Rattus norvegicus: one gene and its partners. The protein of the gene in region 3 interacts with the protein of the main gene of each other region in a pairwise test. Links are inferred from orthologs where the notes say so. Each region holds a gene or a part of one and is shown on either strand. Other genes may lie near its edges. The genes, in order: Otub2, Ss18l1, Fam168a and Rbfox1.

Region 1 (5,196 bases), on a different chromosome or scaffold from region 3:
CTCAACAGCTCGCAGCCAGTCCTGATGCTGTTTTTCTGTGTGACTGCAGATAGCTACAGAGAATCTGCCCATGGCAGCAAGCTTCCCTACTCCACCGGGCAGATACAGGCCCTGGTGTAGTGCCTCGCCCCTCAGGACTCCTCTCTGAGGATGAGTGGAGTTCCTCTTCCCCTGCTCCCTGATGCCTACTCAGAAACGGTCAAGTAAATATGGCTGCTGGCTGGGCATCCTTCTGTGTCCCCTATACCCCTGGCATCTTTATTGCTGGTGTTTGTTTGGGGCCAGGATTGAGTGCAGGTTCACCAGATACAGTCGGGGCGTCGTGCTCTGTAGCCTGTTGTTGGAAAACCCCATGCACTGTTCTAAGTCATCCACCTGTAAAAATACTTCTATAAACAGTCATGAAGCGGATAGCAAGACATGAATGAATTAACAAGGGAGCAAGAAGGCGTTTGGTTGAGCAGAACATGTGGCCACTTGCCAGGCAAGGGGCCCATGGGTTACCTTGCCATGCACACAGGGTGTGGAGAGGGCTGTTCAGAACGATACCGCCCCATGGGGATTTGTGTCTTCAACACAGTGTTAGCAGACTTAACCACACACCAGCAGCTGTGTGTTATATAAATGATGTCACACTTCCATCATTCTGAACAATATATATATAGTTATATATATAGCTATATGTATAGTTATTATTAATATATTAAATATATTCTATACATAATTATTTTACATATATATTTAAATATATGAATGTATGTTTATATATACATGTGTCTATATTCTAAACATACATACACATCTATGAAGTCAACAAAGTTATCTTGGCCTAAGGTTTTTCTAAACCTGCAAATGGAATGGAGCCTATCCAAGCTATGAGCCTGAGGTCTGTGAAACTCTGAAAGGGAGACAACTAGGAAATGGGAAGGAAGAACATAAGGAAGAAGTTGGTACCTTCTTGGCACGGGTAGAAGGCTCAAAGCAGGTGGAGGAGGGGCTGTCTCCCCCTCTGGCAGTGGGCCCTGCTCTCCTGTCTTTGTTTGCCTTGCAGAGCTAGGAATGAACCCAGGGCCTTGCACATGCCAGAGCAGCTCACCCACTATTCAGCCACACCCTCAGCCTGCTGATACCTTTCAATGGCTGTGCCCGGAGTCACTTGAGAACTGTCCCTTGACACTCTGCAGTAAGCATCACACACTGTCCAGGCTCTTGGACACACTGAACTCCCATCAGGAAGTGGGGTGGGGTGGGTTGAACAGTGTCTCTTGGGGTGCTGCAGAAGCGAGAAGTTGGACCCAGCCTCTGGATTAGAAGGCCACACACTGCCCCGGATAGGACAGTTCTTTGTGCTGTAGCAGCTGAGTCCTTTGAGAACTCTGGCATCTGGGCTGTGTGCATACCCAGCAGTTTGGTGTGTCTGAACTTCACAGGGACCTGCAGGAATCACTTCCTAGCTCACACAACCTGACCTTGGCGGTGGGTATAATCGCCACCTCATAAGAGTGTTATGATAATTGAGATAATGGGGCCATGTGAACCTCTGCTCCCGATCTTGGCACACAGTAGTGCCCAGTGATGGCACCCATCACCCATGTCACACATTGATTGGGCTTAGAGTAGCAGCAGATCATCGAACCATCCTCCCTATGTTGGCTTTCAACCTCTGGTCACAGAGTGGCTGCTGTAAGGTAGACATTGCATCAGCATCTCTGCTCTTTCATCCCAAACCAAAAGCTTTCCCAGAAGCCCCAGCAGGCTTTGTTATGGGCCTAGAATACGCCAATTTGGGTAATTAGTTTGTCAGCTTGTCCCAAGGATCCCCTGTACCTACCAATCCTTTGAGAGCTGGGATCAGAAGCAGGTTCCTCATCTAGCCTGAATACGTACTCTGGGGATCTGAACTCTGATCCTCACACTTAAAAGACAAGTGGTGTATTTACAGAGTCCTGTCCTCAGCCACAGAAACCTTATTTTAAGCTGGAAAATCCTTTATATGAGTCAAAAAGCACTTAAAGAGCAATCTCTCTCTCTCTCTCTCTCTCTCTCTGTGTGTGTGTGTGTGTGTGTGTGTGTGTGTGTGTGTGTGTGTGTGTGTGTGTGTGTGTGTACGTACAAACCACTTACACGGTTAGAAGACAGCTTGTGAGAGTTGGTTCTCCCTTTCCCCGATGTGGGATCCTGGATCAGCCTCAGGTGGTCAGGCTTGTTAGCAATCTGAGACATCTCACCAGCCCTGGAATGTTTGTTTGTTTGTTTGTTTGTTTTGAGACAGGGCTTCTCTATGTAGCCCTGACTGTCCTGGAACTTGCTTTGTAGATCAGGCTGGCCTTGAACTCAGAGATCCGCTTACCTCTGCCTCCTGAGTGCTGGGATTAAAGGTGTGTGCCACCACCGCCCTGCAGCCCGACACTTTGAGGTTTGCTCTGAGGAGAGCACCATTCCTGGTGGCTGGTGGTGAGGGTACATGGCCAGTTGGCTGAGCCCCAGCCCTGAGCACTCTCACCCCAAGCTTAGTAAAGGAGCAGAGGTGGGGAGGTGACTACCACTCCTCCATCCATGGCATCCTCTGTCGTCTCCCACCTGCTTTTGTAAGGACTTAAGAGACCATGGCTCAGACTTGGTTCTGGCCTTGATTCAGAGCTGGGTTACACTGGTAGGCAATATGGGAAGATGTCCTCAATGCCTCAGCCCTTGTGTAAACTCAGATTGTTACCCTTTCCCTGAACCCTCACACACACACCCCCAGTGCCACACAGGGTCACCCCATAGCTAACCTTCACCCTGTGGTATCACTGGCTTTTGTGTAGGGATGGGAATACCCCTGTATTGCCAGCATGTGGTGATGTTAGGCTTGGCACAGGCTGCATGTTAAGGAACTGGGGGACTCGGGTGAGTAAAGAAAAGAATGAATGAATGAATGAATGAATGAATGAATGAAGAGGCAGGAGCATACTCCAGCATAGAGATTTATTAAGTCTGAGGTATTAAATATATTGAAATGAACCGGTTAGTAAGCTATAAGGTTAGTTCTTTGTAGCCAGGTTACCTCATGCTGGTGCCAGTCCTTATTGTCCTGGTCAAAGGCTTACACTTCCCTTGAGAGAACAGGTCATGTTCTAGATTGTGTACCCCGTTGGTTGTTCAGAGGCCATCAGCTCCGTGAGCGCTGCAGGTGTCTTTGAAGCCAGCTCAGCATCTCTTCTTTCTCTTTCAGAGTGAAACATCTTTCAACCTAATATCAGAAAAATGTGACATTCTATCTATTCTTCGGGATCATCCTGAAAACAGGATTTACCAGAGGAAAATCCAGGTGGGGCAGAGGGCAGAGGGGCCAAGAGCCTAAACAAAGAGGGCTGGGGTCGGGAGTAGAGAAGGGGGCAGCTTCTGGTCAGCGTGGAGTTTGGGCCAGGTTCCTGTGCAAACTGAAACACACTTAGACCATTCTGACATTGTGCATTTGCCTCAGAAAGCCTCTCTTTGTGGGAACACCACACATTTTAAAGCTGAGCACCAGTGTAGCACTGGATTCACTTGCTTGACTCCTCTCTGGTGTGGTCCGGCACTCCCCACACCCCTGAGAAACCTTTAGAGAACTGCCGAGGTTGCCTAGTGTTCTGCAGCCTCCCTATCACCCACCCCACTCAACTGCCAGCTTCCTCCAGGAAGCCTTCCCTGACTGCCAGAGTCTGGTATGTTTGTCTCTGGCCCAGGACACCCCAATCATGTCCTCAATCTCTGTCACCATCATCTAATTCTGTGGTACCTCCCCCAACTGGAGGCTGGCTGGTGCCCAGGAACTGACATCCTCTGTGTCTGACACCGCAGTGTATTTGTGTATCTGTGGGATGGATGAGGGTGGGAACCCTGGTGGGAGGGAGCTGTGGCCAGGCCAGTGACTGACCCACACCAGTGTTGCTGCTGCTGAGGTCCATGTGTCCTCCTCTCCCCTTAGGAACTCAGCAAAAGATTCACCTCAATCCGAAAGACCAAAGGAGACGGGAACTGCTTCTACAGGGCCTTGGGCTATTCCTACCTGGAGTCTTTGCTGGGCAAGGGCAGAGAGATCCTCAAGTGAGTGGGGCCTGTGTAGACTCTTCTGCTTCTCTGTTAGAGCCGGCTTGTGTAGCAGGGGAGCTGAGAGCTGGCCACTGTGCCAGTGTTGATGGCAGCCCAGAGGCTCAGGAAGGTGTCTGTATCTGTTTGACACTTCCTCCAGCATTGCCTGAAGGCTTGGTTCACCAACACTGGGTGGGCGCTTGGTATTTACTGCATTTACTGCACAATGACAAACAGACGTGGTGGCACTCAGTCAAACCCTGTTTTAAACACCAACACAAGAAAGAGGAGGAGGTAGAGAGAAGGAAGGAGAAGAGAAAGAAAAGGAAGAGGGAGAAGAGGAAAAGGAAGAAAGAAAGAGAGAGACGGGGGGGGAGAGAGAGAGAGAGAGAGAGAGAGAGAGAGAGAGAGAGAGAGAGAGAGGAAGGAGGAGGAGCAGGAGGAGGAGAAGGAGGAAGAGGAGGAGGAAAAAGAAAAGAAGAAAAGAAGAGAAAGAAAAAGAATACAAAAGGAGGAAGCTTGTCCCTGCTGGCCTTGGTCATGTTCGTGTGTATGTGTGTGTGTGTGTGTGTGTGTGTGTGTGTGTGTGTGTGTGTGTGTGTGTGTGTGTGTGTGTGTGTGTGTGTGACAGAGCACACTGTGGTGTGTGCAGAGAGACCAGCAGATAACTTTAGGAATCTTCTCTTCCCTTCCACTGCATGGAGGGGCAGCCACATTACCAAGCCCTCTTGCTGGACCTTGACCCCGATAGAGAGTGGGGACAGCCCAGTGCCAGGCTGGTCCTGAGGTTCACGAAGAGCTGCTTGGTGGCCAGGTCAGGTGTCTCACCACGCTCGTGAGGGCCCCGTGGCCTGTGTCAGGATGGGCCTTGTATTGCAGGGATGTGGATTAACAGTCATGAAGCTGGGGTTGAGAGCAGGGAGGCCTGACAGGATAGGTGAGCTGGTATTAGGACGGATTACTGGATTACTGGCTACCCCACAGAAGCAGCCAGCAGCAGAGATCTGAGGGACAGAAGCACATGCTGGGGCCCATGGCACTCCCACCTCAGGTGTGTAACATTCCCTGGCCACTTAGAAGCATAGTGAGTACTAAACAGGAAATTGGGCTCTGAGTATTATTTTCAAAATTACATTTACT
Region 2 (5,196 bases), on a different chromosome or scaffold from region 3:
AGCACCTGTGACCTCCACATCTGTGACCTCCATCTTAGCACCTGTGACCTCCACATCTGTGGCCTCCATCTTAGCACCTGGGACCTCCACATCTGTGACCTCCATCTTAGCACCCGTGACCTCCATTTACCTTTTCTCTTTCCAGCCTTTGACAGAGGTCCCTCTCCTGAAACCAGTGTTCCTCTTACAAGTCCCACAGCCAATGGCTCCCTTTCCTTGGAATTGCCGAGGCCTCTGAGCAACCACTCAGGGCTGAGTCACTGTTTTTCCACCAACCCAACCCTGTGGACATGCCCAGGGAGGAGCCACAGCACCCACCAGGAAGGCTGCCCTTAGGGGCTACACAGACAAGTTGCCTGTGTTTGCCAGGGTTGGGAGCTGGCCACAGGTACGGGCCAGGTGCAGGGACAGACAGTACCTGGGTTGGACTGCATGTTGATGTTGGTCCGAGACACATAGTTGCTGATGGCACCTTGGCCTTGCATGGGGACACTCTGCGACGTAGGTCCCGAGTGGCTGTACCCAGGCCCAGTACCATGGCCACTGCCTGACATACTCATGGAGGTTGTGGGCAGCGTGCTCTGAGCCGTCTGCTGCATGGACACGTGGTTTGGACCTGCCAGGAAGGGTAGGAGAGGGAGCATCAGGCACTGGAGGTTTCCACCTCAAGGTAAAGACGTCTGAGTTCCCTTCAGATGACTTTGAGGAGGAAGGCTCGCCCCAGGTCAGTAATACTTAGGAATTGGGCGAGTGATTAATGAACACACACACACACACACACACACACACACACACACACACACACACACCCCGTGTCACTGTTCCTGAGAGCCCCCAGTTGGTATAAGGAGTTCTTATTTTGCAGCACGAGCAGAGGCACCATCACACCTTTGTTCTTAAAGGATGCACGCAGAAGCACACGACCGTACATTAAACGCCACAGGACAGAGTCAAACAGACCCGGGCACTTGGAGTCAGCCTCATGTCCTCTGCATGGTTAGTCAACCACCACATACACTTAGGCTTAGAGGAATACCTACAGCCAGGACAGTGGGAGAGAGGTGGTTGCACGACAGGAGGGAAGGCACTGTGCCCAGCCCTGGTGGGTGTAGGCTGCCACTAAACCCACTATCTACAGCTAGCTTGGTGACATCGCTGCCGCAAACCTGCTCACCGTTACCGATCTGGCCCTGCATGAGGGAGGCAGGGGGCAGGCCTGTGCTGACGGTGTCACTGAGGCTGCCCTGGGGGTGCAGGCCCTGGCTGGAACCGCTCTGACTCAGTGCTCCGGGCCCGAGGTTCATGTTCTGGGTTGGAGGCTGTAGACAACAGAGAGGTTGGAGTGAGAGAGAGTTACCTCAGAGAATAAGCACCAAGAGCCATCCCAGGGACTCAAGTGACCCACGAGAACTGCACAGCCACCGGCCAGCATGGTGCTGAGCTGAGCTGAGACATTCTTGACGTTCAGACACAAATCAGCTGGCTGTTGGGTCTTAGTGCCCACATCTTATCAATGAACCAGTCAGTGCACAAGCTGGCTTCCGCTCCTTTCACTTGCTTTCCCTTCTCATCCTCCATCCATCCCCTCAGCCAAACACATGGTGAAGAAGGAGGTGGGTCTTCTCCTCACCAAACAGTGGCTGCAAAGGTTTGCACACACACGCTATCTAGACCTGGCCGAGAAAAGGAGCTCCCAGCCAGGCCTGGTGCTGCAGGGCTACAGTCTCAGTAGAGAAGTGGAGGCAGGAGGATGACAAGTTCAAGGCTTGCCTGGGCTACAGAGTTCAAGTTCAGTATGGGCAAAACAATTAGACCTGGAGACTTAAAACTTATTTCTAAGAGGTAAAAAGAGACCCAGGGACATAGCCTCACACGCATATAGCTCCAGGTCAGCCCTAGTAGTGAAAAGAAATGAGATGGGGCGTCTCCAGCAGGAGCCACATCACAGCTGACCAAGGTAATGCCACTTGTAGCACCTCCACTTTCCAAGGGAGCCACGTACTAAGGGACGAGTCTTTTCCTGGTCTACCCTGGCACCTGCAGTCAGCTTTGGTCATCACGGGGTAGGTAGCTCCTTCTCTTGGCCACGTAACCTCACTTGGCCACGGTCACACAATCTGACATCACAGTTAAAGTTTAATTTGGGGAAAATGCATTTACAGAAAATCAAACAGACAATAAAATATTTATAGCGGTATCTGGACCGTGACCGCACTGGAGATTTCCCCCATTAACTTCCTTTTTCTTTTTAATTTAAAAGACAGGATTCATGGGGTGTAGCCTCAGCTAGTTTGGTACTTGATATACGGCCCAGTCTGACTTCACACTGACAGCAATCCTCCCACCTCAGCTTCCCAAGTGCTAGGATTGAAGGAGTACACCTAGCAAGACATTTATTTTTCTATCCCAGCAGTACACCCATATGCACTGGGACTGTGCACGCCATTTGGAAAGGCTTACAGTGTATGAGGCTCTGCATTTAAGCCTCAGCACCACAGAAACAAAGAGGAAACGATTTACAACAAAGGCAAAAAGACCTCTCCCGTTGGTCATGACACTCACCGTTAACACTCCCCAGGGTTGGTTCTGGGGCCACTTCCCTAAACTAAGCAGGCTACGTTTCAATTCTTCCCATCTAACGCAGCCATTCACGACCTTTCCCTGTGGGACAGGGGTTTTCCCAGAACCCCCAATTTCTGATGCCTCATAGCTCTGGGCTGCTGTGGGTCACCTGTCTACTTGAGGCGACACACACAGAAACTGGTTGAAACTGGCTGCGGCACCTACCGCGGGAAGCAGAGACTGCATGTTCTGGTTGGAATCTGCTATGGTGGCCAGGTAGACCAGGTTCCGGTGCAGGATCTGCTGGTACCTGCGGAGGGAGAAGCATTCAGGTAAGGCAGGACAAGCGGCCACACCCAAGGTAGAGGCAAAGTCTAACCGAGTCAGCCCCAACCTCCAGCCTGGCAGGACAGCGAACAGTGACGCTAGGCTGGGAACGGGCAGCTGGCTGCTTTCCACAGTCCAGTGAGGGATAGGCGGGGAACAGGTCTAGCCAAGACCTAAGCAGGCTCCTGCTCCAATGACTGAACCCTGGGAAGACCCTGAGGTGTGAGTCAGGAGGGAGGTGCTATTGGATCAATGGGAGAATAGGTGATCATGGCAGGACAACAGGGAACAGAGCCCTGCTCCACAGAGCCAGATGTGAGGCTGACCCCATAGAGCAGACATCTTGAAGAGCCCTGGAAGAAAACAGGAAGGGTCCAGAGGACTGAGGCTCCTCACCCACACATCGCACCGGGCAAAGTCTCACTTTTCTCTGACCAGATGCATGAGGTGAGGACCCAGGAGGCCCCTCGTGAAAGTGTGAGAGAGGTCTGAGGTACTCTGCCCACCCAGAGGCACAAGCTGTCTTCTGGTTGGGTCTACTGCTGGCCCCATGGATGGAGGCTGTACAAACACCTCTCCATGTTCCCCTTTGCCTCTTTTTCCCCCAATCCCCGATGAGAAGGTTTCCCACCCCACTTGCTCTCTTGAGACCACACCTGACCTCCCTCTGCTCTGCACCAAGGAAGTTTCCCAGCACGTGGAAAAGGCAGTCACAGAGACTGGCGGTGGGCTGGGTCCCTGGCTGGCCTGGTTACTCACTGGGTGCACTCGGCTGTCTTGCCCTTGCTCTGGTAGTCCAGGATGCACTGGATCAGGTGGTGGTTCTCATCCAGCATCTGGGGGGAGAGGTAAGCAGGGTGCACGCAGTCACACAGCAGCTGGTTCACATCTAGGATGCCAGGACCCTTGGGGAATGCGGTAAGGGCACCCACTCCAGGTCCTGGCACCTACCTAGAGAGCTCCACAGACCCTCAAACCTCAACTCCACAAGAGGGCAGAGGCAGCTTACGTCCATCCCCGTGGGCTATGCTCAGCCTGGGCCAGTGAGAGAAGCCCAGGAGATGAATGTATGGAAGGAGGCACTGTAGGCGCACAAGAGCAGGCAAAACAACAAGAGGACTACCAATCTGCAACCTCGTCCCTTTGGATCTCCCTGAGACCCAAGGACATGAAAGGAAGGGTGGCAGAGGCCCGGGCTACACTCTGCAGAGGCCGGCACTGTTTTGAGACTGTCTTACACATCATATGGGACCTGGATCAGAAAACAGCTTCATGGAGGTGATGTGTGAACAGGCAGGTACAGACATGGCGGAGATGGACCGTGGGCTCCCAGAAATGCGGCGTGAACCAGAGACTGTTCCAGGGAGAAGGAAGTTGATCCTCACTCCGGCAGGCATAGCCCACACTCATTGGCTGTAGCACTGTAGGGAATCGGTCAGAAACATAGACCCCCCAAGCCTGGACCTGCCCAGGTGGCTGGTACACATGGCGGTGCTGGAAGACTGAGCTCCCAAGGTGTCCAGGATGTGCAGGCACCCTTCCCAAACTCAGTCATGTGAGGTCTGACCTCCACAGACCCCAGGGCTATCCTGGGATGTACTGGTTCCAGTGACTGGTAACAGACTGGAGATCAGGATCACTGGGCAGTGCAAATGCTTGTGAGGGAAGTGGGCCAAGCCTGTGGACAGGCACAGCACACAGGGCCTTCTGCCACCCCATGGTCCTTGAGGAGCATCTGAGAAAGTGAGGGAGAGATGGGAGGGGAGAGTAGAAGTGTGGCAAGCCAGTGGGCAGAGGACAGCCAGCAGGCGCAGCGCTGAGCCATGTTCTACCTGGAGTGACCAGGGTCCCTGGGGGAGGAACCCTGGAACACCTGCTCTAGGGTCTATACTTGAGTGTTCATGACAGGCAGGCAGGCCCTTCCTCCACCTTCACAGAAACACATTTGCCCTGTTCCTTGAGGCTGCCTGATGCCCTTCCCTCTACTTTGCATTGCGGGTTCCTGGACCTGCCTTCTCCCTGAGACCAGCTCCCAACTTCACACACCTTACTTAGCCTATAGAGCCTTAAGTGTAGTCTCTCCTGTCCCGCTCTTTTGTAGGTTAAAGCGCCCCCTCTCCCCACTGTTTTCCTTCCCCTGCGGAGATGACAACACATCCTGCACTGAGTGCCCACCAGGGGGCGCTGCTGCACAGAAGCTGCTAGTGATGCCTAAGAGTGATCTAAAGGCCAGGGAAGGACTTTCTCCAGGGTCACTGGTCACTCACTCCAACCCCCTACCTCCACCCCCGCCCCCCACAGGCAAGG
Region 3 (5,196 bases):
AATACCCTGGGCAGTCAAAGAAAGGCTAGCGATAGCCTGCTTTCATCTCTAGGAGCTTGGGATGGGAAGGAGAGCTGGAGGAGATGCTGGAAATCTCTAGGATGAGAACTTCACAGATGAGAGATGATAACAGAGAATGGCTGCACAAAGAAGCACTCACCACAATGCACCTCAAGGTGACCCCCAGGGGCAGAAGGATCTTCCTTGAGGCTGCAGAAACCATACAAGCTCAGGCTTTTTCTTGAGATCCTTTCCAGGCAGTGCTGCCTCAGGAATATCTTCATTTGGACTAGATCATTTCAGAGGGCATTTCTGATGCTGACATTCTAAATCCTGAGTATTTCAGAAGGACTTCTATGAGGACATCATCTATATCCTGACCTCATCCTGGGGAACACTGAAAATCTAGGGCTACTATCCCAGGCTTAGATATCATAAAAAGTCAGGGTTTATTACTTTGTGTATCTAAGTAAAAGAAGTTGCTGGGCTTTTTGCAATATCATCTCCTGGATTTTTACTCAAATAAATTTAGAGCCAACTCATTGCCTGGAGGCCTAGCTACTTTGAAATGAATGATGAATCTGAAGGTCACAGAATGGGAACTTTGGGGGGCTATACCCTTAAAAGACATTTGAAGCTTACATTCAACCTGCTCCTTTTCAGAGGAAGAAACTGTAACTTAGAAATCCAGTAATTTTTCAAAAATCGCATGGCACATCTATACTCTTAGAGCTGGCTCCAGAGTTCAAGGCTAATGTTGCCCTGGGTAGAGCGGTTTCTGAGTTAACTGTCTCTACGGTATGATCTTGGGCATCTGGTATATTGGCCTTTGTATCCCGTTTCACTAAAGGCAGTGTCATGAGACAAAGGAGTTCTGTCAGAAGAAGTGCCAGCTCTGCCTTAGAAAGAGGTTTTGTTTACGATGCCTGCCTGCTGTGTGTCTCGGGCTCCTAGTCATAGCTTTAGGCTTATCAACGGGAGAATAGAAAGACACCATGTGCATTAGCAAGATAAAGCCTTTGCAGCCTCTTAACTCTGCTTCAATGTCATAAATCTTTTTCAGTTATACAGTCCCGCCTACGTTCACAGACATCGATCTTCACATCAAGGATACTTTTTACACTAATTGGTTTATTGATCATCAGATTTATACATCTGGACAAAGTCTGGACAAAACAATACTGCATGTCTGAATCTTGCCTTGACCTCTGTCTCCTTGTTGGTAGTTAAACAATAAAGCACTGAATAAGTAAGAGGGATAGCTAATTATGAACAGGCTTTAGCAAGTGTATTGGTTAAATTGGTATAAATTTGTCAAAGTGCCCTGAATGTAAAAGCAATGAAACATGAATGCTTGGGGGAGCCTTTGAGCCTGCATGAGTCAATCAGTCAATCAATCTCAAATCCATTAAAAAAAAAATCACATCCACTTATGTATTGCTTGCTTGAAGGTGATACCTTTTGGTCTTATCTAGAAACTTGACAGCCTATATAGGAGGGGAGAGTAACATGTGACTACTGGACATTTCTGTTGGGCCTTGAGAAGATATAGCACAGAAGATCAGACACTCAAGACTACCTAGCTGTGGGAAGGGCAACCTCTGGACGAATGAGGCCACTATTTCTAAAGGTATGTGAGCAAACCTGAAGGCTGGCTTACTGCTGAGGGCAGCTAGAACAGAGGGTTTCGTGGGAAGGATATAGGTAATAACTCCTGAGGGAGAGACTCAAGAGTCCAGTGACTAGCAAGGACTTTAAAAGTGACTTAGCCCAAGGCCACCATTGTATACAGTTCAAGAGACTATGAAACAAAGCGCAGCTATGAATCACCCAAAGTTCTGTGGAACTGGAGTCCTGTATCTTCCCCTCCAGGTCTCTCTGTTGCACTGTAGTAACTGTGCCTTTATTCATATACATTTGTGAAGTATGTGCAACTCAGTTTACATTATATAATCTTACACATGTTCATTAAGCTCTACTTGAAGCACCTGGAAACTGCAGAATCTACAAAAAGGTATGCCATGCTGAGTTAGTAAATGCTGACAGGTAAGGACAATGACAACAGAGAAAAAATGACGTTTGTTGTTTCTGTTTCATTAAAGACAAGGGCCCATCATGCAGCCTTGGCTGGCCTGGACATCACTGTGTAGACAATGCTAGCTAGTTATTATCTTACAGAGAGATCCCCCTGCCTCTGCCTCCTGAGTGGTAGGACTTCAGGCATGTGCTACCATGACAGGCTTGACATTGGATATTTAACTTATTTATTTTTAAAGGTTTGTTTTTATTTTATGTGTATGAATTTGCCTGTGTACATATGTGCCCCACATTCACGCCTAATACAAAAAGAGGTCAGAAGCAGGCACTAGGTCACCTGAAACTGGAGTTACTGAAAGCCAAGTGCTTTCAGCGGCTGAGCCATCTCCCTAGCTCCAACAGTGGATATTTACACTTGATCTCAACCAAAAAACAAAAGCAAGGACACTGGATATTTAAAGGGAAAGATAACAAATTCAATGAATTTTCTTAGCCTACCTAGTAGGTTACTTTCCTACAACATCCTGCTAAGGGTTTGTCCAGGGCCTGCTAGCATAAATTCAGACATTGGTGCCCCATGTCCAACGCTAACCATTGTCCACTCCCATGGCCGACAGTTGCTGCAGGCACACGTTCTTCCACTCTACTTTCTAAATGAGGGTCTTCACTGGAATCATTTTGTTACCAACGCTACAAAGGTGACAGCATCAGTTACCCCACTGAGCCTCAGGATGGACATGACCAATCTGGCTGCTGGCTTCCGTCTACGTCATGCCATGTTCCCACAGTGTACTTAGATGAACTAGGGCAATGTTTCCTATAGAGAAGACACTTTTCTTTTCCAGGGGAATACTGAGCCATACCTAGGAACTTTTTTGGGTGTGGCAGTGTGCTTTGTTGCTGGCATCTAACAGAGGCTATAGATCCTACTAAACATCCTACCACATATAGGCAAGAACTTATCTGGCCCAGACGGCAACAGCGCTAAAGTCAAGAAAACCAGTGGATGGGAAAAGCTGCCTCAGTTCAAAAATACACAAGGCCTTCAAATGGGCCCTGGTTCTTTCCCCTAAGAGTCAGTAACAGTCTCTCACAAATCCACGTTCTTGGCCCAGGAATGCTCCCCTCTCTCTGCTGTGGGATAGTGTCCTAAAGCTAAAGGCATGATCAAAGATGAACATTTTTCTTGAATGTCAAAGTCCAATTTTCTTGCCTGAGTAGGAAGGAGAACCTCTTAAAACGGTGTTAACATTAAAAATGCCATTTTAAAAAATTCCCTTTCCTTTCTTGCTACAAACGAATCAGTCCCAATCAAGGAGAACAAGGACAGGAGGAGACAGGCTGTATTTACTGAAAGCCGCAGAGGATGCTTGGTAAGTTCGGTTCTCCGTCCCGGTGTCCACTGGGAGGTGGAAGGTGCCTTCAGTGCCACAGGAAGAGGAGTTCTGTGGCCAGGCTTGTTTCATCAGCAGAGTGGCTTAAGGGAAGACAGAAGAACGGCATTAGGCAGAAATAAGAAGTGGGCATCGCCAATTACAGACACAAAAGCAAGGGTCTTGTGCTAGACAGAAACATAACTCAAGGAGCCTGCTCAGACACACAGAATGAGTCAGCCTTTTTGAGATGGGATAGTAGGTTGGAAGGAGTGCTGAAGTGAGCTTCCAAATGACTTAAATCCAAGGAAACCTACACTTAAGTGCTAAGACTCAGGATTTCCCTACCTGTGATAAAAACCATGAAGAGGCCCTTGAATATCACCATTTTCTACACCTTCTGGTCTAAGACTAATGGTATTTTCCTCTACCACCTTCTCATTAACATGAACACTTGCAAGTCTTTGACAGTGTAGTGGGCCAAATTAACTGAGTCTTTTTAAAAAATCCCCTGTGGTCTGAAACTTATTTGAGGTATGGTTAATAAGTGTGAGTTGCCTCCAGAGAAAAACTGACAAATAACCACCATTTTACATGCGCCTCCCTGGGACAGCATCTCTTCTCACGGCCGAGCTGTGTATGGCAGCCTCAAGGCCTGAGCACTGTGGCTCTGCTATCGGCCATGGGACAGGGCACTCTTTGCCGACTCCTTCTGCACACCAGCACGGTCAGACAGACAGACTTCTTGCATATGTCTGAGTATCTCCTAACAGGCAGTACTGAATACTCCATCTGAGACAGCTCCTCGTGAGTTAGAGATGCTCCTTTGGCCATTATGAAAATACATGTCAAAACTGGGGTAGGTACATAGTATGTTACAGAAATTAGTTTGAGATCTGTAGAGATTTTATAGGATAGCTCAAAGCTCAGCTTGAGAAATTTCAGTAAGTATTTTGAGGTGGGGAATGACTCGAACTTACCGTCATGGTAACCTGAGGGGAAGGAGAGAGGAAACAGGGGGGAAATACCTTTACACAAAAGAAGAAAGAGAGAGAGAAAAAGAGAGAAAGAAAGAGAGAAAGAGATGGGGGAGGGAGGGAGCAAGAGAGGAAGGAAGGAAGGAAGGAAGGAAGGAAGGGAGGGAGGGAGAAGGAAAGAAAGAAAGAAAGAAAGAAAGAAAGAAAGAAAGAAAGAAAGAAAGGGAAAACTATCCTTTTAAATACCAGAGGAGACACATTTTTGATACAAATTTCTATTTTAAGGTTAAAAATGATTAATTTTTTCTTTATAATATCTTTTCCATCCTAATTAGATGTTGGGAGTTTTGGACACAGAGTGTTCTAAAGTACATTAACAGTAAGGGGATGGACTGACAACAATCAGATGAACCTGACATATTTTAGTAAGTGGGAAGGAAGCATAATAAGAAAGTATGCTGGGTCTATAGATCCTATAGGGTTTGCTGCCTCCAGAGACGCCTGGTTTACCACTAGCATCTCTGTTCCTTCTATGGCAGAGTTATAATGGCTAGGGAAGGTTGTGCATTCTGCTGGTTTTTTTTGGAACTAGAATCAGATTGTTCTTCCAGAGGCTGACTCCGCTTGCATTGATGGCCCGCAATATATACAGCAAATGCTGAGGAATGAGAAGGAAATCATGGGCAGGAAAGTGACACTAAAAGGAGAATCTGGCAAGAGGAACAGAGACAGCCCAACCCCAAGCAGAGCCCAGAGCCCTTGCTAGACAGCCAGGACAGTGTGCAGCTTCTGCAGAGGGAAATCTGCTT
Region 4 (5,196 bases), on a different chromosome or scaffold from region 3:
GAAATCAAAACCGCAAATGAGTTTTACTTTAGCCAGCACAGTAAGAATTCCATGTTTGTGATTTCATACACAATGCAGGTTCTAGGCTTGGAAAGCTGGGGCGACTGGGAGGAGTCTGTTGACCTTTGTGCAGCCCCTTCCTTTTACTACCTTGACCCCATCTGGGGTCGAATGCTACAGCATCATGATAAATTGTTGCCTTGGGTAACATCAACCAGGTGCGCACTGTAGCAGGCCAGGGGAGTGGGAACGTGATGTTGTCAACCTGTCCCCCTCTGGCCCCATCTCTCCCTACTCAAAGAGGTCTGGTGAAAGAAGACCAGTTCCTAGATTTTTTTTCCTCTTCTCACCAGTTCAGCAGTCTCTCTCCCTTCCCCTCCTCGCCCCTTGCTTTTCTTCCTCTCCCAAACCATGATCCTCTGTCTTAGATATCGAAGCTACGAAAACTTTGTTTTCAAATCTCATGAAACTTTATTGATGGTTTAATATCCAACCGATCTTACGGGCATGCACGTAGGATGATGAGGAAAAGCTGGATCACAAACACTTTTTTTTTTCTTTTTAAAGTTTTGTTTGGTTTTGATTTTAAAGCAGAGTTGTTACAGCAGATTGGCAGGTTCACAGCGTGAGTTGATAACTTACTAAAGTGCGTGCCGTGGGGCCGGCACTGCACACACAGGCAAAAACACTACTCAGGGAACAGCTTGCTGATATTTTAGAATTTAAATACAAAAACAGGAAGACCCATGACAGATACCCCAACTTAGGTTAACTTGTAAACAGGACAACATGGGGGGATTCAAACAGAAGAAATTCACAAGCTGCAATTTTTCGGCTGTGTTGCTCTGGCCCTGCTCCGGAAAAGGATGCGGCAGACACTGCTCTTTGGGGAAGGAGGGCATGGTTCTAGTTTTGTTTTTTGTCTTGTTTTTGCTTCCTTCTGACAATTGTCTTGGGCCTTGGCGATAGAAGTAAAGACACCAGTTTAACATAACCCTGGGGCACTGGGGAGAAGGAAGGGCAGGCTCTCACAGACTGAAAAATTGCAAGTTGCTCACAGCGCAGTCATGTTTTCAAAAAGTATCAAGCTGATGAAAATACCGTGATTATCTCTATTCAATGATTGCGATACTTGTAAAATGCGACTATAAATCCAGATATGATTATCATGTAATTCCATAAAAATTATACGTCTGTCTCTAACAGTTAATCTACTAAGCTAAAACTAAAGCCTCAGAGACTGTTTCTAGAACATAACTCCACTGCACAGATGTAAATTTTATACATATTTTTAACTGGTACAAAGAATTTAAGTTTTTATTACTTTCTTTTTTGGAAAAAAAGAAAAAAATAGAAACAGTGCTTTTTATCACCTTTTATTAATGTTAATTTTCCCTCCCGTAATATAAAAGTCAGCAGTGATATCAATAATTTCTCATACTGGAAGAAATATAAAAAGAATGCTTATTGATGGCCTAACTAGTAGCCTTGGCTTAAATAACTAGTGGGTAGGTAAGAAGCTGCGTACTGCGGTGGAATGATAAGAGGGCGGACCGTCACAGCTTCGTTCAACTGCAATCTCCGTGCTATAAGAAGCAGATTCTTAACACAGCCTTTGGCTTGCCTTTGCCAGGAGTAACTTCGAACCATAGATTTATGATAGTTGGTGCAGTGGGTCATTTAGATTCATCAGTTACTATATATATGTATTTATATATATATATATTTTCTTTTTTTTTCCTTTCAGCCAAACCCCAGTCCCAAACCCCTAAGCCCCTCCCGGCCTCCCCTTTCACAGAATAAAATAATATAGATGCAGAAAGAATGACTTGCCACTTACAGTCTTCCCAAACAGCGTAACCCCAGTAGCTTCATGTTCGGCATATATAATCCATTTACATAATATAGCACTCTGGATATGGCCCTAAATCGGTTTTTATTTATATCTAGCCTCTCTCTAGATCAACCACAAAAACTCCTACAGCCAGCAACTGAACTACAAAAACCTTCATAAACCAAAGACCCACAATATTAAAATACACAGAACAAAATATCTGAGGTATAAGATAAAAAATGTAATTTTTCCTCTTTTTTTTGATTTTTTTTTTTTTTAGTTGTTTCTTTGAGTTGCTAAAGTGATGTCCTACTGCATGTGTCGCAACACTCGGGCCTCGGAAAGCTTCCTCTCTCCCCACATTGGAAGGTTGGTTTTTTTGTTTTTGTTTTGTTTTTTGTTTGTTTGTTTAATGGTTTTATCATTTAATATGGAGCAAAACGGTTGTATCCCCCTCGGTATATACTAGCCTGCAATGAAGAAAGAACGAGACCCACATCATCAGCATGGCTCCTAGTCTTGGCATCGGTCAAGGGCGCAAAAGCATTCTGAAACAAAGCAATTTGAGGGGTGTGTTTTTTTACATGTTGCCTTTTGTAACATGTGGATCATCAAAAAGACTAATGTAAAAAAAAATAGACACTCAAAACCAACCAAAATAGAGGGCACCCCCTTCCCCATCCCATGACCTTCTTAGAAAGTTAATGGTGGTCACTCCTGACCTCCTCCTGTAACTCCTTATGAAAAAAATAATAATCCCAGGAAACTGAACTGGATCTGCTGGTCCTACCTACCAGCTATGAGGCCTCCAGTTTACAAATGGGGAAGTGGATGGCTAGGAACTGACTCAGTTTACCGTTTGTTTTTCAGTGACTGGAATAATTGATAAGATGTTCCACTGGGAGAAGCTCTATGTATATTCAAAGGTAGTTCTACACAATGTGGCGAATGCAGGGACTCAGGATTCTTTTCCACCCTTTTCCTCAGGTGGCCTAGGTGTTGAAGCAGGGTTATTGGATGCCATGTTGAAATAAGAATAAAAGCCTGCATCTAGGTTTGGCTAGGCAACCTACGGATTCTGATGCTGCCTCCGTGGGGGTGGGACAGGGGCATTGCTGGGTGTGATTAAGCTTGAAGAAGGCTCTTCTATGCCTGCTTGGGTCTCTATGATCCAGGATACAGGGAATTGTCTAGCCATAGCTTCCTATGGCGATGAGGTGACACTTAAGCGTTTCTTTTTGCTGCAGTTATTGGCGATTCCAATGAATGCCCATGGGACTGAGCTTTAGGGAGAGGACTAAGATTCTCAACTCAAGCAGAAGACTGCATGCCAAGGCGCTGAATTGATCGCATGTGCGCCCAACGCGATGGACATGTCTTACTGGACTCAAGAGTGTTAGTGCATAGAAGTTTGAACAAGTACAGGCAGATTCACCCTACCCTTGCCCCCCACTGTTGCCCTCCCCCTTTCCCTTCCCAAAACAAAAAGCAAAACCAAAATCCCAGATATCCCACCCTCCAAGAAGAAAAGTAAAAAACAACAAACCAAAAAAAAAAAAACCAAACCAAAACAAAACAAAACAAAAAAAAAAAAAAAACTGCAAAAAAAACCCAAAAACCCAAAACAAACAAGATGACCCCCCCCAAAGCCAGCTGATTCCTTAATTTCTTATGTACTAGGCACACTCACAAAGTGTGCCCCTCTGTCTACTTTCTCTCCTGGGCGACTATGACTTTAAACATGAATTGTAAAAGGGGAGGAGAGGCAGGCAGATGCTCAGCTGCCTGACAGCAGAGGCCTGGAAGTCTGCAGCTTAGCTCCTCTGAAGTCTGTGCTGGGGCTGGAACCTTGGGGCTATGTGAATGAGCAGAGCAGCACGGGAGGGAAGGGAAAAAAAAGAAAAAAAAAGTTCTGCATTGACACTGCATTCCGTTAGTGATGGATTTAATTATCAAAATGACTAATTATTCCATTAAGGTAAGTGCTCGCTAGGTGAGACTTGCAAAATTAGAAATATAATAACTTACATGCACTACATTGCCAAGAAATTAAGACATTTATCAAGTTTACTGGGAGGATTAATGTGGCATTTTAGCTGCTGTTAGCACAAGAGACAAATTCAATTAAGGGAAAGTGAGAGGACTTCAACCATCAGCCCATCCTGAGGCCCCAGCTGGGGTGGGGGGCAGGGAAGACAGCAGGAGGAGCAGAGGACAAGGAGGAGCTGCTACTCACCATGGCACCAACGCCGTAGGTGGGGGCTGGAGCAAGTGTGTGGTGGTAGGGGTCGGCAGCATAAACTCGTCCGTAACTGCAAAGGGAAGAAGAGGTGAGAGTGGTTCATGATGGTCGCTGAGGTACCGTGATTCCACTGTGTTTAGAGCAGCAATGAGAGAGTACCAAGAGAGCATGGAGGGGTTGTCCTCATTCTAAAACATGAAACGCCCCTCTCCACTGCAGGATAAGAAGAAACTCAGACTGAGCCTAGTGACACACGTGACACAGCCAGTCTTAGGGATGTATTCCACATACGGTCATGTTCAAGTTAATGATGGGGACCCATTCTGAGAAAGGCATCATCCTATGATTTTGTTTTTGAAACATCACAAATTATATTTACACAAAGCATGAAAACCTTGGGGGTAAAATGTCTCAGGGGAACACTCCATAGATGGGGCATATAACTGTAAACATACACACACACACACACACACACACACACTCCCTCCCTCACATGTACATGCATATATACACACACACACACACTCCCTCCCTCACATGTACATGCACACACACACACACACACTCCCTCTCTCACATGTACATGCACACACACACTCCCTCCCTCACATGTACATGCACACACACACACTCCCTCCCTCACATGTACATGCACATACACACATACACACACACACGCACACACACACACATTCTCTTCTACTGTGATGTTGCTACTTCAGAGTCAGAGGCAGGCAGGAAGCAAATGATAAACTGGTCTTGAGAATCCCTGTGTCTCAAACAAAATTTAGTGCTCAAGAACAGATGAGCTAGATGTCTTTTCATCTTATTTGATTGTCACCAAGCACCCTGGGTCATACTCAGAAATCATAGTTTGGTTTGGTTTCGATCTTGGTATCCTAGAATCTTATCCAATCTCGGGATAGTTCTTGATGTAGGGACATTTGGAGCAGGAATGCCTTCCCAGGGTGATGTGCACACTTGATTTGTAATATCACGCCCTTGCTTGTTTGACATCAATTCCCAGATAGCTTCTGGGGATGATTTGAACAGTGAGGTTTTGATACTGTTCAATGTTCAGATACAATCTTGGGAGAAGGTCCATGGAAAGTGTGAGTGA

The links.
Region 1: the proteins of Fam168a (region 3) and Otub2 interact in binary tests that used the Homo sapiens proteins (3 or more experiments, as listed by UniProt). The two-hybrid records come from large-scale screens. The link is inferred for Rattus norvegicus from reciprocal best matches to the Homo sapiens genes FAM168A and OTUB2.
Region 2: the proteins of Fam168a (region 3) and Ss18l1 interact in binary tests that used the Homo sapiens proteins (3 or more experiments, as listed by UniProt). The two-hybrid records come from large-scale screens. The link is inferred for Rattus norvegicus from reciprocal best matches to the Homo sapiens genes FAM168A and SS18L1.
Region 4: the proteins of Fam168a (region 3) and Rbfox1 interact in binary tests that used the Homo sapiens proteins (3 or more experiments, as listed by UniProt). The link is inferred for Rattus norvegicus from reciprocal best matches to the Homo sapiens genes FAM168A and RBFOX1.

Annotation. Positions count from the first base shown.
Region 1 is NC_086024.1:128,318,969-128,324,164, forward strand, and holds part of Otub2 (ubiquitin thioesterase OTUB2), read left to right. Parts: intron 1-3,214; coding exon 3,215-3,310; intron 3,311-3,952; coding exon 3,953-4,071; intron 4,072-5,196. UniProt on the Homo sapiens protein: Hydrolase that can remove conjugated ubiquitin from proteins in vitro and may therefore play an important regulatory role at the level of protein turnover by preventing degradation.
Region 2 is NC_086021.1:187,527,485-187,532,680, reverse strand, and holds part of Ss18l1 (calcium-responsive transcription coactivator), read right to left. Parts: intron 3,726-5,196; coding exon 3,649-3,725; intron 2,873-3,648; coding exon 2,788-2,872; intron 1,320-2,787; coding exon 1,175-1,319; intron 617-1,174; coding exon 419-616; intron 1-418. UniProt on the Homo sapiens protein: Transcriptional activator which is required for calcium-dependent dendritic growth and branching in cortical neurons. Recruits CREB-binding protein (CREBBP) to nuclear bodies.
Region 3 is NC_086019.1:164,597,960-164,603,155, reverse strand, and holds part of Fam168a (protein FAM168A), read right to left. Parts: intron 3,515-5,196; coding exon 3,389-3,514; intron 1-3,388.
Region 4 is NC_086028.1:8,659,223-8,664,418, forward strand, and holds part of Rbfox1 (RNA binding protein fox-1 homolog 1), read right to left. Parts: intron 4,147-5,196; coding exon 4,071-4,146; intron 3,690-4,070; coding exon of another isoform or gene 3,542-3,689; exon of another isoform or gene 2,383-3,541; coding exon 2,260-2,382; 3' UTR 1-2,259. UniProt on the Homo sapiens protein: RNA-binding protein that regulates alternative splicing events by binding to 5'-UGCAUGU-3' elements. Regulates alternative splicing of tissue-specific exons and of differentially spliced exons during erythropoiesis.